2 linked regions of the Medicago truncatula genome follow. The protein of the gene in region 2 binds, or shares a complex with, the protein of the main gene of each other region. Links are inferred from orthologs where the notes say so. Each region holds a gene or a part of one and is shown on either strand. Other genes may lie near its edges. The genes, in order: NADH dehydrogenase [ubiquinone] 1 beta subcomplex subunit 9; acyl carrier protein 1, mitochondrial.

What was found.
Region 1: the proteins of acyl carrier protein 1, mitochondrial (region 2) and NADH dehydrogenase [ubiquinone] 1 beta subcomplex subunit 9 are in contact, whole or in part, in a cryo-EM structure (PDB 8BEH), measured with the Arabidopsis thaliana proteins. The link is inferred for Medicago truncatula from reciprocal best matches to the Arabidopsis thaliana genes MTACP-1 and CIB22. Residues at the interface, in NP_181990.1 of Arabidopsis thaliana: Asp78, Ser79, Leu80, Asp81, Val83, Glu84, Val86, Met87, Glu90, Glu91, Lys94, Leu95, Glu96, Ile97, Asp99, Lys100, Ala102, Asp103, His118, Met120; in NP_567970.1 of Arabidopsis thaliana: Glu18, Arg21, Ile22, Tyr24, Arg25, Arg26, Leu28, Lys29, Leu32, Arg38, Phe41, Arg49, Phe52, Asn53, Tyr84, Ile85, Val86, Pro87, Trp88, Ala89.

Annotation. Positions count from the first base shown.
Region 1 is NC_053044.1:58,454,824-58,462,371, reverse strand, and holds the start of NADH dehydrogenase [ubiquinone] 1 beta subcomplex subunit 9, read right to left. Parts: upstream 3,034-7,548; 5' UTR 2,952-3,033; coding exon 2,820-2,951; intron 2,733-2,819; coding exon 2,691-2,732; intron 2,595-2,690; coding exon 2,513-2,594; intron 2,057-2,512; coding exon 2,001-2,056; intron 1-2,000. UniProt on the Arabidopsis thaliana protein: Accessory subunit of the mitochondrial membrane respiratory chain NADH dehydrogenase (Complex I), that is believed to be not involved in catalysis. Complex I functions in the transfer of electrons from NADH to the respiratory chain.
Region 2 is NC_053048.1:37,507,623-37,515,291, forward strand, and holds the start of acyl carrier protein 1, mitochondrial, read left to right. Parts: upstream 1-4,652; 5' UTR 4,653-4,743; coding exon 4,744-4,926; intron 4,927-7,669. Other genes in the region: probable purine permease 11, read right to left, coding at 203-1,293, 1,945-1,951. UniProt on the Arabidopsis thaliana protein: Carrier of the growing fatty acid chain in fatty acid biosynthesis. May be involved in the synthesis of short and medium chain fatty acids.

The sequences.
Region 1 (7,548 bases), on a different chromosome or scaffold from region 2:
AGAAGGGTGAAAACTGATCACAGAAGCTTGTCTTCCTCTTCCTAGCTGCCTACTAGATATTAGCAGCCAGTTATCAATAGGTTTATTTGTTGACTGCTGGCCCTCTAGACTAGTTGGTAATGTTACGGGATCAGGTATTTTAATAGCTGGAGTTTACCTCCCTTGCCAAGTCCTGGTATTTGTAAAACCTGCTGCATGACAGTAGGGTGGTGCTTATTACCCATGTGAATTTCCTTGAGCATGACAATACAGGCCTCTTGACTGAGGCTCTTGGACTTCGTGATGCAATCTGTTTTGGTTTCCCCCCAAGGTCCCCAGGACGGTAAAAGTACCCAAATTCAACAGCACTAACATCCACCCCTTGAGTTTGGCTTCCATCATTCCTCTCCAGACCATTCCTTTGCTTGTTTAAATGTCAGCCAAAATCCGTGAGTCAACCCAATTCACCAGTGGATTGAATTAATGCCTCACATTTTCCAATGTTATTTTGAATTTGAACCAACTCATTAAACAGTAGGCCAAAGCGAGTTATGCAGGGTTGATACAGATGGCCTCACTTTCTCCCTTTTTTTAATCTTAAAAATCATTTTTTATAAAATAAAAAATACAAAGCATGATGGGTCACACTAGGTTGGTTCATTCAGACACCTCTAGATTGTAATGCATTTTTTAATGCAAAGCCTGATGATAAGCTCTCTCTAAATATGTTGTGTCTTTCCCAATATGACTCGCATGCATAGGATTCCACTTTTGCTCAACGGGTTTAAATCAACTTGGTTCACCATTCCTATTCAAGGAGTAGTAGGGGCATGGGTCAACAACTCGGCATGTTTGTGTTGCTGTTGGAATGCCTCTCACACCTCAGCATGCAGGTCTGAGAAGGACTTAGTGATCCCGCAACAATTGCTATCAAGGGGCTTAGTTTGGCCGAATGAACATTCAACTGACTGACCTAATGCACTAGAGAATCAATTCGTTGTGAAGCCGGTCGGGTTTACACACTAAACTCTCCCTCTCCTAAGCTCTCGACAAAATTAGAGCTGAATGCACGTTCAGTGCAATGAGGCCAACTGTCCCCACAATTTATTTTATTTTTTAATTTGAGCATACTTAATGTGTCATCTTTATAAGACCATTTTTCTGAATTGTGATGTGTCATGTGAAATCCCGTGTATTATTGAGAAGAAAATATTGAAAGTAAGAACAAATAGGTAAACTCCATGGGCCCTGGCTATAAGTTGAAACTGAAATGGAAACACATGACGCCTTCTCTCCTTCTGAACAACCCTCTATAACAAATTGGTTCTCTGTTTCCCTCCAGCAAACTTCCCCACCCACTTTTTATTTACAAGGTAGTCTCTCCCTTATCAGATCCCTTCTTATAACTACAATCTCATCAATTTCATAGCCTTCTTCGTTTTCATTGTTAGATGATTATGACACCTTGAGACCTTAGTTTTACTGTTTCAAACATAACATTGTTTGTTCAAAAATTAATAATATTGATTTATTATCCTCTAATTGGGATCATTAGAGAGAGAAAATTAAGGGGATCATTATTCTAACTTCTAATACGCATGTTTAATGTATAATTTCAAAGGGGAATGGAGCACACTTATTCCTGGCTATATGGAAATTAGGTTAGTCACTTAACTAAACAATCACAGAAAAGTTTGGTGCATTTCTAAAGAGACTTTAAAGTACACAAGAAAAGCAAATATTTCGACCATTTTATGTGATACTCTCACATGATAGGGTCATTGGATGAGATATATCATCACAATAGTCTTGGCAAGGGAAAAACGTGGTAACATATGCAGGTGTTAGCGTCTTGCAGAGGACATTGTGTATATCTCTCTTATCCAAAGAACTTGTCCTAAACTCCACAAACACAAACACACACATATACATGTCTATGTATGAATATGATATAAGTATGAACTAAGTGGGCCAAATAAAAAGGAAAAAAATAAAGAAAGCATATAACCATAATGACTTACCCCTTGAGGTGGAGCTGGGTTGCGAGTAAACTTGGAACCACCAGGAGCCCATGGAACTATAATACAGCAGAAATAAGAACAAGCCAGTATTAGAACTGGATTAAATAACAAAGCAGGAAAGAGATGGTGTAACGAGTAAAATTTTACTAAGATTGTAAAGCAAAGGAGAAAAATCAACCCTCAAGACTAGAAAAATATAAAAAAATAAAATAAAAAAAAATTAAAAAAAAAAAGGCCAATACATAGTCAGTGTGCCTATGCCACAAAGGAAGGCAGATTGTAGCCGAGGTAAATGAAATGCTTCAAACTAATAGCTCTGTTTGTAAGTTATATACTAGTGAACATTTGATATAATCTTATTATGACAGTCCCCTCAACTCCTATAGCACTAAGTAAAATAATATTCAGATGATTTGCAACCATGTGTCATTACTTATCATTCCTGCTATACTAGGGATAATGAAAATCAAATTAATACCAAACACTAAGTATATGATTTGTTGTTGTTTTACCTATATAAGGATCGGGATGGCGCCACTTATTGTAGCTAGCTTCAGCATCCGCTATCAACCTATCAATCGTATCAAGATCTTCCTGTAAATTATTACAATCACAAAATTAAATTAGGGTGAGTGAAAGTGTAATTGCAAGATGCGATGATGATGATCTGAAATTGGGAAAACAACGAACCACGTGTTTGTTTTGCTCGAACCTATCGCGGAGGTTTGAAGCCTGAAAATGGAAGGAATGAGAGAAAATGTTATGAATTGAATGAAATTGGGTGAAATGAAAGAACGAGAAAGGGAGGAAAGGGAATACGTCGTCGTAGAAGAGGTGACGATGTACAGCCCAGTTGAGAGTGTCTTTAAGAGCACGGCGATACAGAATCCGAACCTTCTCCCTCTGCGCCGCGCGCCGAGCAACGTAAGCTACCGTCGATGTTAAGCTCATTTCTCTTTTCTCAATCTCTTCCCTTTTTTCCTTTTTCACTTTTCATTACAATTACAACAACCAGAGAGAGAACCACGGCGTCGTATCATCGTTGGGCTTTTGGGCTACTTTTACTTATCCAGGCCCGATTCATTGCTTTTTAATCCTTCCCTATTTACTCGAAATTTTACGTTGTAACCCTACATCTATACTTATCCCAACCAAGTACATCTTATCTTTATATATTAAAGTTAACCCGCAAGCCCTAATTTTAACTTAAACCCTATTGCATAATTTTACTGTTTTAATCCTAATGCTCACACCTAATCTCCTATTTTCATGAACAACCCTAATGCTCTCACCTAATCTTCTTATCTTCGTATATATTAAAGTTAACCCGTAAGCCCTAATTTTAACCTAAACCCTATTGCATAATTTAACTGTTTTAACCCTAATGCTCACACCTAATCTCCTATTTTCATGAACAACCCTAATGCTCACACCTAATCTCCTATTTTCATGAACAAAGCAAATCAGCATCGCTTTATTTCTCCCATTTCTTCAAAACAAATCGCCCTATTTCTTCACTAAAACAAATCGCCCTATTGGAATAAAAGGATTTTGAAAGATTATAGCAATATTTTTTTTGTTAATATTACACTTTTCATCCAAATTAGAACTGAACTCTCTTTGTTAAATATCTACCATAAAATGCACCTGAATTTTGCAATCTATATAAACAGGTGGAAGAAACATTTCAACAAACAGTTAAAGCGTATCATTTACGGTAAAGGCCAAATATTCGATAAAAGGAAAATTATTTAAATAAAACATTTTACATGTTGAGGTTTAGAATGAGCTATTTTTAGGTACATAATATAACATTAACATATAATTTTTACAAAAGAATGAAGTAACATTCTGTCAAAAAAAAAAAAAAAGATGAAGTAACATACCAATAATATAACATTGACATATAATTTTAACAAAAGAGTGAAGTAACACACGATTGATAAAAATAAAAATTAATATTTTTAAGGTGAATAAGTGTGGTGTCTGAGGTTCGAATTCAAACATCTGCATATATTTGGAACCACATATTTCATTCTCTTTGATATGCATTGAGATTTGTTTTTGTCTACTACATCTACAATGTATATGACCCGTGCGGTAGCACGGGTGGAAAGTTAGTTATCCTTATTATCTAATCCTAAACTACAATGCACACAACAATTGCAAAACCCTAATCCTTGGCTTTGAGCGGGAAAATTGTGATTTAACCACATTTAATGGCATTTTTGAATTTCAAATCATGTACCCTTTTGAAATGTGTGCATATGTGCCTAATTAATGCAGATTTTGAAATTCAAATATCCCACCACTTGCAATTGTGCTCGCTTCTTTCCAAGGCATGCAGTTACCCACTTCTCAATGCAAAGGCATATGAACCAAACAAACCTATTTCCTTGCATTTTGCTCTTTCTCCCTCTCTCTCACTCCCCTCTCACACCCATTTTTCTCTAATCAGAAAAAGTCAGCGATTTTCAGTCCCTCTTCTCTTCTCTCTCACTCAAGTTTTCTCTCTAAAAAAAAAGCCTCTTCTCTTCTCCCACGTTATTTTTTTCTTCATTTTCTGACATTCTTCTTCAATTCTCCATCTCTCTCTCTCATTGTTTCTCGCGTAGCTCTTCGTGTCTTAGTTTGGGTGTTCTCTTCATCGCCGGTCAACCTCACCAAGGCAATAAGCATCTTCAAGTTTTATTGAAAGAGAATGCTTCTATGCAATAAAATTTTCAAGACCTTCGATCCCTCGGTATGCGTTTTCAGTTTCGTTACGTTTTGATTGATTTTGATTTCACGATTTGGGTTTTGGTATCACCGGTGTTGTTTTGATTGATTTTTCCGATTTGATAGGAAAGGAGCTTGAAGAAGGTGGAGTTCTCAGTGAATCGGCACTGTCGCGGAAGGTTTTTCTTTTCATCAACAATCTTCTCTCTCATTCGCTGCTTTTCTCCTCTCTCATTAACTTTTTGTATTAAACTACCTATACATGTTGTGATAAGCTTTAAAGAATTTAATCCAAAGTTTGTTCTTGCTATGAAATTTTCCATTGAAAAACTGCCACTCATGTTTATCTGTATCCTATTATTCCTACTCCATGAGTATCTTGACATCATGAGCCATGAGCCACTATCATCACGATAATGGGTGTGAATAACTAATATGAAATATAGTTTCATTAGATGTAAATTTGCATAACAAGTATTGTCAATGTTATGATAAAATAGTGTGCAAATAAATAAACTTTACATAAATTGATGAAGATTGTCTTTTGAGAAAATAGTGATATTTTTGGTATACTTTGTCGAGGTGGTTTCTGTTTTTTGTGGTGTGTTCTTGAGGGGCAGCAGGCTGTGTAGTGCATCTTTGTTGGCTGCGTGAGGCTGCTGCTATTTTAGATAGCAGGTTTTTGGTTCTGTCACTAGGAACCGTTGTGATGTTGGTGTTTTAGGGGCTGCAGCTCTTTTGTTTTGTGCCTAGCCTTTTTCTTTTGTTTGCTTTCCGTAATCAAGGGGAAGACGTATGTGTTTGGTTTGTGTTTTATAGGATCCTGACGTTGTTTATAGCTCACTGGTGTCCTTTTTAATGCAAATAAATAAATAAACTTTACATAAATTGATAAAGATTATCCTTTGAGAAAATAGTGATAGTTTTGGTGGACTTTGTCGAGGTGGTTTATGTTTTTTGTGGTGTGCTCTCGAGGGACAGCAGGCTGTGTGGTGCCTCTGTGTTGGCTGCGTGAGGGTGCTCTACATGTATAATGTTTTTCATATTCGAATTATTTCAAATTGCAAGTAATTTAAATTGAGTTTTAAGGTAGTTTTCTTTGACTGCAAATATAAGGGGCTTATTTCACAAGGTTATACTTAGATGTGTATATTCACTATTGAAGCTTATTTTGAGTTTCCGTGATGACTTACTTTATCGAAATCACGGTGTGCCGCCGCGATTTATAAAAAGTTATAGGGTGCAACTTTTACAATAACTAAAAATTAACTAATGATTTGCCTGAAGTTTCTAATTCTTTTTACTGGTCCGATTACAGTCCCTCTCTGATGATTTTCCACAACTATCAGATTTGATTGAATCAACTAAGGTTAATTATTTTGTCCATAATTTTTGCAAGATAACTCTTCAGTTTACTGGTTTAGGTCAAAATTAATTTATTTTGTGTATAGAACAATAGTTATGCAGACCACCCATTTCAATAGGATAATGTCAAAATTAATTTATGCAGACTATCCATTTCAATAATCAATAATGTTTGTTTGGGTTTGTTTGTATAATAGCAGGTTTTTTAAGATTTGTTTTGTGTATAATGTGTCATTTCACTCCACGTAGCTAATCTTAGTGCTTGTTAATGAATAGAAAGTGGCTCATAAAATAATTTAAGGGTTGGATTGTTCTATATTATTTTTGCTCATCTCTCTTAGTGTTTGAAATTAGTTCAAAGAGTGGTCTAAAAATTCTGCTAACATATGAGGATGACGCTTGCATTGATAGTTTTCAAAAAAAAAAAAAAAACGCATTGTATACACATAAATTCCTTGAAATATAATTGTATACACAACGTACACTACATACGAGGTCAACTTTACGTCGCAATATCCAAGGTGACCTCAAGGAATGGGTTGAAGATTTTAATGACTGATGATAATATTAACGGCATGAATAGCACTTCAAATGTAGTTATAAGGAGATTTTATGCAATCTACCGATTTAAGGTCCTTTTTTAATGTATTTTTTTTAGAAACAATATATTTTGTACCGCAAGCATATTTAATTTCAATATATTTGCATGTTTTGTTTCCAATCGAGATGACCCGTGCGATCGCACGGGTGGTCTAGTTTGAAAGTTAAAACACCAATTTTTTTTTCTTCAATAGTTGTCGGTTCACCCTACAGTGAAAACCTACTAGGAAACACATTCTAAGTTTTTAGGGTGGTGCAAAGAATCAAATCGGACTTTCATGTCCAGAATTTCATCATTTCGTCTTGTTAAGATCTTCATCATGTTCAAAATCGTCGTCTTTTTTGTGCCAGTGAATTTTGCAGATTTGTAGTAATTGGTTTAAATACAACGTTTTGCCGATCTTGAAAACTTCAAATACAATGTATCATATTTGATTGCAAAAAATACATTCAAAGATTTCCGTCTAGGAAATCCTGAAAACTTGATCATTCTTTTTTGAAATTTTTGAAATTATTTGTTATGTTTTGAATGAATTTTATTTTGTTTTGTAACGATTGGTTATTTACTCGAGTAAGCTTTACATCTGACGTATGAAATTACTAATGGCATGCAAAGGACTTGGCTAAATATTTAGAGCCTTTTTTTAGTGGTAACTTGGCTCAATATTTTGCTTTTACTAATTTGATTTTGCTTGTAATGATCTTCGTGTAATTTGATTTTGTCTTCTTTTTTCGAAGAACTAGCTAGAAATGAATTCAAGAGATTTTCAGAAATTTAAATATGAATTACTAATTCATTACTTTGCTTTCTTAATTCTTCCTTTTTCTAAATGGGTACCTTGAATATCACGTGGGTGAACTCATG
Region 2 (7,669 bases):
AATTTAACACAGAAGGCAGAACAGAATTTGTAAACAACAACAAATAATTTTTTAACTGAGACATCGTTTAACCTTTTCATTTATTAAAAAAATTATACAATTCAATAATGAGAATAGCCAAGATCCTTGTATCTATACCAGCTTATAATTTCTATGGGACAGAAGAAAAAATAAAATCTAAAGCCTGCAGTCGCTAAGAATTTCAACATGGAGATTCATTGTGAGGCTTAGAAGTGCCAGCTTGTGCGCGTCTTGCCTTTAAATCATCGAGATAATTTTGATAGATGTAGGAAGCAAAACCCCATAAAGCCATAAGCATAGAAATTATCTTCACCCCATTCATCTTATCATGAAAAACTATAACAGCCGCAATAGGAGTAATAGCCAAAGACACAGTGCTGATAACATTAGAGTAGAGAGAAGACACCAAGAAAATCAAGCCAACCACACCAACAGAACAAACCTGCCATGCTATTGCTGTCCAAACCAATGTCATTAAATAAGCAACTTCTCCTTTCTGAAAACTCTTCATTTCTTCGTGCAAACTATGCCATTCACCACTCGCAAATAGGCCTATTGTGGATGCGCAAGTGGCAACAAGTGAAGTATAGATTTGCATTTCCAAAACAACAGAAAATGTTTCCTTTTTCAGAACCTTCTCAAAGGTCAATTGCATGAGGGAAAGCAAAAGAGAGTAAAGTGCAGAAGCTCCAAGTGTACAAAGGAAACCAACAACGTATTTTCCCTTCGGGATACCAGAAGGTGTGTCCGAATCTTCATTGACAGCAAGAAGTGAAGAAGATAAAGTGAGAACCACGGTCGAGTTTACAATCAAAGCAGTGAACTTTTGAGAGTTGATAAAGTATGAGAAAATTGCATTGAAAGCTAATTGAGATGCACAAATCAGTGCATAGGTAGAAGCAGAGAGGTACAAAAGTCCTTGTGAATACATCATATTGTCAGCAGCAATCATGATTCCAAGAACAAAATATATCAAAGCGATGAGTTTGATGGAAGGAGGAACATAAGAAGCTGAAACCTCTGAAGAAGAAGAAGGAATTGTGAATAACGGAATGAGCAAGACTGGGAAGGCAATAGTTTGGACTAAAGTAGCCATCCATGTACTATTTCCACCTTGATCATAGTAAAACCTTCCAAGGATAACTGCAGCAGATTGTCCAACGATGAGAAACATTATGCTGAGTCCCACCAGAAACCACCATTGCCATCGCTTGTATTTGTTAAACGGTAGTTCATTAATTGTTCCGGCTATGATCATCGGTTCTTCATTATCTGTAATCGAAAGCAACATTAAGTCACTTGTTTTTAAATGTAACCGCAGAAACATCAAGTAAACGTAAAATGCAGGACAGAAAAACTAAAGTCGAAAGAGCCAATTTTGGAATTTCGGAATAACAAGTTTGTGAATTGAGTAAGTTAAACTTAGTTTATCCATCTCAATTATAGATACTTTAACCGATAAGATCTCATGAGCTTAAAGCTAATTGAAATTGGAACTTAAATTCATGCAAAAGTACAGCAGCAACAGTAAAATCATACATAAATTAGCAGTTAACAGCTATATATATATATATATATAAATATAAATGTTCACTGAGAGAATCATTCATTCATATTAGACGTATATGATGGAAGGGTAAAAACAGAGTTAACCCAGTTTCCATGCAGTAAATCCAAAATTTGATCCTGATCAGTTCTCCAATAACAAATCAATGAGTTCAACTTGGTCCTTGCAAAGGGTAAGTATTGAACTATGTTGATGTAAAAGAAAGTGAAACCTAGCAGAAGAATAATATTGGCGTGACATATAATCAGAACTAAAACGAAAAACACGAATTAATGAAATAAACATAAGCGATTCCCTTAATAATGAATGAATTAAAGCATCCAAACAAGGAGAAAGAGAGAGAGAGGTATATATACCTGTCATGGTGGATTGGGTTTGAAGTTGAAAGAGTTTCAGAAGTGAAAAAAAGGTTTAGAGAAGAATAGTGAAGAAGAGAGGGTTAGAAGAATGTCGCTGTTGGTGACGAAAAAAAGGTTAAAAAGGAAAGAATAGGATTCAATTGTCAAATTGTGAGTGACGGCTTCGGGGGGTGAATGAAGCCAAATTGATGGCAGTTGATGACCATTACTTTACGGGCTCAGAATGGTAAAACACGTGTGCCTTCTGTTATTCTACGATTCGGGAAACAACTCTCAACAAGGAAATTAATAACATGCTGATATAAATTCAAGATTAAATATGGTTTTATTCCGTAAAAATGTTCATTTCTTTTATGGTAATAATAGTTAATTAAAGATTGACTTTCAGCAATAAAAATTAATTAAAGGTTGAATATGGTTCAATTCCACTTCAATTTTGTTTTCTCCTTTGGTCAAGTAGCTAGTGGCTAGACTCACGCACATTATGTGTGGAGAAGTGACATCTTCAGGGTTCAAACCCCGCCCCTGCACAAATTATTCCTGATAGTTACCAACTGAGTTATACTTATGGGACCACTTCAATTTTTGTTTGGGTACAAATTCCACTTCAAATTTACTTGTTTTTTATTTATAAGTTTTTTATAATTTTTTATTAATAATTAATCTAAATTGGACGAGATACACCTCCATACAATGTTAAAGGAACGGTCAACCACACTTTTCTCTTTGTGTGATTTAGGCACAATAAATGATTCAATCGTATATTTATGTTGAAATACAATGATTCAAGCTCAAGTTGCACTTTATTATCTTGTATGTGATACACTTGTCTTATTGCATGAGATGACACCTAAAGTTATTTCATGACATGTATTAGTTTATTGCTTGAATAACAATTGGCTTATTGTACATGTAAATCTCTTAACGGTTAACGGTTAACGGTTAATTTATTGCATATAATTTTCTTAACTCTCCTTCTCATATCAATAGGAGTTTATAATGTACTTTGTTCATCATTGAAAAGGTAAAATCATAGTGTGTATGAGTGTTTTCTTATGACAAAGTGTCTCACTTTTTCCTTCCTAGTTATGAATCATCTTGGCATCAAACTAGAGCAGCTTTTGAGTAAGGAAGAGTTAAACTCAAAACATTGACATCATGTTCAAGAGGTCCAAAAACCTACAATGTGGAATTTCCCAGCCAGATCCAACTACCCGCGTTTCCACCCGCCTAGCAAAGGAAGAAGTCGAGTGAAGTTAATGTGTCACATCATCTTGTTAGCCTAACCAAACACCACTATAGCAGGCAATCATATCCTACTACATGTCATCAAAAACACAACACCTCAACTCACAAGGTCATGTCATTATCCCCTGACGTGCTAACCACTTGATTCAATAATGGAATTATTTCTTTTGTTTCCATTCATAACAAAAATCTAATCATTTGACTCATGACATTTTTCTTTTATACAAGCAGCAAAACTGATGACGACATTCAAGAAGCTCAAAGACAATAAAAGAGTGTGATTACTATAAGGAAAGCTAAGAGACTCCAAACAGAGATAGATGGACAAATTATTCCAAATATTGTTTGTTTCTGATTGGAATTCTTAATGGAAGTGTAATAAAATTCTTAAAACGTAGCTTTTTTATATTTTAGTTGTCGACGATTTATTCTCTTTAAACATAGCCTTTATGGTCACTAGTTTTTGAGGACAACAGAATTTACAAATTCATACTTGTGTGTGAGGTAGAAAATATCCTCCAAGGTTTTTGGTTAAACCATTGTGGATCTTATCAAGGAGATTTTCAAATCTCTTGTGGCGGTTCTCATTTTGGTCTTATCTTCGTAGAGATCATACATCTATGTCGTCATCTAGTCTAATCTATTTTTTGTAAGTTTTCAATTTCTTTCTTGGTTCTTTATGTGTGTTTCTATGATAGGTCTTTAAAAAATTGCTTGAAAAAATGAATTCAATCTTGCAAATGTCATTTATCTTTGAACCCTCCATCGTAGGTTCACATCAATTGGTATGAGAGTTTCAATCAAATAATAATTTATTACACCTAACAAATTTTTTTAAAAAAATTGTACCTAACAACATCATTGAAATTGATCGAGTCTTTGATGTCTTCAATATAAGAATGTCTCGTACGTGAAACTTTTCTCTTAAACACAAAAGAGAACGGCGATACTCTACTAATATTTACCTCAACTCTCAAATAAATATCTTATAGCACTTAAGCAAGTATGTCTATGCAATATATATAGTAGGGGATTTATGTGCAACATCTCAAGGAGAAATTTATTGGTAGGAAAGTCTCAAGCATATTCAAGGTCAATCCAATACATTTACATATCAAAAACGAACATTAAAATGAGATATTTTATGTAAGAAAAAATAACAAAAATAAAAAAACAATAATAATCAATAGAAAAAAAAGGTCACTTACATATACAATAAAATGTCCCTTAAAAACATATTCAATAAAATGAAGGTTCGAATCCCGGCCTTGCATATAATAATGCAGTATCATACCAATTGAGCTATGCTTACGGGACTCAATAAAATGTTTTTAATTAAAGATATAAAAATGGTTTTAAAAATTATTGTTAATTATTTTGTATTTGAGGGAGGTAATGAGCAGAATATGGGGTGTAACTAGAATATTTTGTTCCCTTTTTCTATAGTGCGTGTGACAAGTTCCTCTAACACTCACTCGTTCACGAAGAGAAGAAACAGAGAGATCAAGAGAGAGAGAGAGAGAGAGAGAGAGAGAGAGAGAGAGAGAAATGGCACTGAGAGCAGCTATACTCCGCCATGTTCGTATTCCAATCCAATCCACTCCAAAATTACAACCATGGAATGGTTCCATTCGATCCATGTCTTCACACGACGATCATATCACCAAAGAAGAAGTCGTCGAGCGAGTCCTCTCTGTCATCAAAGATTTCCCCAAAGTTGATCCTTCAAAGGTTTCTTCTTTTCCTATTTTCCCCTTCATTTTGCATAATTTTTAGTCTTTATTACTGTAAGATAGGGGGAAAAAAACTGAGAAATGAGTATGCATAATTGTTATTCTGTTGATTTGTCCAAATGGGTTTCCCCCAAAATTTGGAATTGAGAAAAATGTGTAATAGGTAACCTAAATCACTATTATGTTGATTTATTCAAAAGGTTTTTTTGCTAAAGTTTGGAAATTTACCTTAATAATTACCTGGGTGGTGTTTGTAATAATGTTAAAAGGCTAAAAGATGTGCAATGTGTGTCCCAAGTTGTTATTATGTTGATTTAGCCCAAATTTGAAAGGTTTGCTCATTAACCATCTTAGAAGTGTTTGTTGTCTTAATTTGTGTGGAAAATTAGAAATGGGTTTTTCCGAATGGGTTGCTCCGAAAGTTTTAGATTTAGGGCCTGTTTGGATCAGCTTATTTGTTGATTTGAGGCCTGTTTGAATTGAGTTATTTGAGCTTATCTACTGACATAAGCCAATGTGAGACTGTTTGAGAGAACTTATGAAAACAATCTATAACATGTCCATTAGCACGTATATCTTATATGATAGCATTTTGACTTTATTTTCTAGCACTGTGATAAACGTAAACATTTATATGATAAACACTTGATTAAGTTGTTTATTCAAATAAGGCCTTACTCACCATGTGGGAAGTGTCTGCTTGGTTATGCGGGGATTTGTTTGAAGATTTAATGAGAGATATTATGTGCAAGAGAAAACTACGTTGCAGTTCTCAGTTGATAATAATAATATATTATTCAACTGAGATGCATTTTGTAGGAAAAACTACATGGCTCTTTGGCTAAATAAACCATTTTCTTCAATGTTTTTTTTTCTTTCTAAATGGGCATTATCATTGTGGAGTGTGAGAAGGGTTAGATGTCTGCAGTCTTACCTTAATAACTCCTACTGGTTTTCTACATGGCATTTTTAAAAAAATAATTTTATTCATACAATTTGCTTGTATGTTTGGACTTTATAATGCTGTAGTTATATTTATTTTTTCAAAATATTGAAGTTTAAATGGATTCTCTCATATTTTAGTAATGCGTAATTTCTGACAGTTTGAATAAAATCTTTTGAATACCCCTCATCTGAATGTTTATATTCAATACAGTCCTGTGCAAAATATTTAAATTGGAAAATAAGACTACATTTGATAAACTCTACTTTCATGAAGGCATTCCAGATTTGACATGCAAAGGAGTTAGGGACTGGAAGACATTCCCCTTGCTTTGATTCACTTTTCTCCTTTTCCTCTTTGATCTTGGCTTGTTTTTATCCTTGTACTATATAGTAACTCTCTCTCTCCTCTCCTCCTTAAAAAAGTGTTGTTTTCATTAATAAAATTTCAAGTTCCGAATAAAAAAACTCCTAAACAGTGTTGTTTTCATTAAAAAAATTGTGCAATCATAACCCATTTCCTAGACACACACACACTGGTTAAAAAAAAAACACTTGATTAATCTTGTCAAAATTCCAGTGTTGTGAAATATCACCGATGGCGAATTTTTGACAACCGCCACGGCCAATTTGTGAAAGATGGCGGTGCCATGGTGTTCTATGGTGGATTTGAGCTGTGGACTTCAAACTCTTCTGTATTATGCATAAGGAGGAGGCTGATACACACAACACTTTATGGCCTAGTTTTCTACTTTTTTTCCTTTGGGTGGGGTGAAGGGGGCGGGGGTTTAATCTTCAATATGGCTTTTGTTCCCAAAGTAATATTTGAACTTATCTTTGAGACTTTCATTATTCCATTTATTTAAGTTGAAGCAACACTGATATAAATACACTATTTGTTCATAGTAGAAGGTTTCATCATGTTATTAACAAGTTTAAACCAGAATATGTAATATGTTAAATTCCCAAACATAGATAATTAGGGTATCCTGGTTTCAAAAGAACATTTTTGTTTTGCATTTCTTCTTGTTTTCTATTTTAATTACAAAAACAACTTTACTTTCACCTCGTTTCTTGTGTAGGAAGCAGAAAAAACAATTGAATGTTTTTGTGTTTATTTCCTGTGTTTCACTTTTAATTACAAAAATACCTCAGTTGTTTCTTGCTTTTAAGGATTTGTCTTGGAAACCAGGAAAATAACTATTTTTTGTTTCTGTTGTTTCCTTCATATATATTTGAAAATGGGAGACAAAGGGAAAACAATGTTTGTGTTTTTATAATCAAAAGTGAAACATGTAATGAGAACGGATAACATTTTCTCAAATTAAATAGACAGTCAGTTTTCTCCCACAACTCTTGCTCAGCTATTGATAGATTGATTTCCTCCATAATCAGAAACTTCAGAGCTAGATATTTTAAGTATATGTAGAAACTGGCATAGCTCCCAGGGGATTCATTTATTTGGAATCTAACAGAAACCAAATTACAAATAGGTAGCAGCAGCAGCACAATGTGTGCATCTGCCAGTACCAAATGATTTAAGACAATTGTAAATTTAAAAGGCTCTATTTTGTTCACTTGATGCCTTACTTTAGGATTCTCCGTCTTTTGAAATATTTATATAGACACTTTGTTTTTCGGATTTCACACATGACTTTATATTGTTTGTTTCACATTCTACAATGTATTCAAGTTCACTTCGCAAGCTGATGAGCCAACAGTGTTTACTAGTATTTGTTTAGAATACCTATTATCGTATTCATTCTTAATTCACAGTTGCCCAATATTTAGGAGCTCAC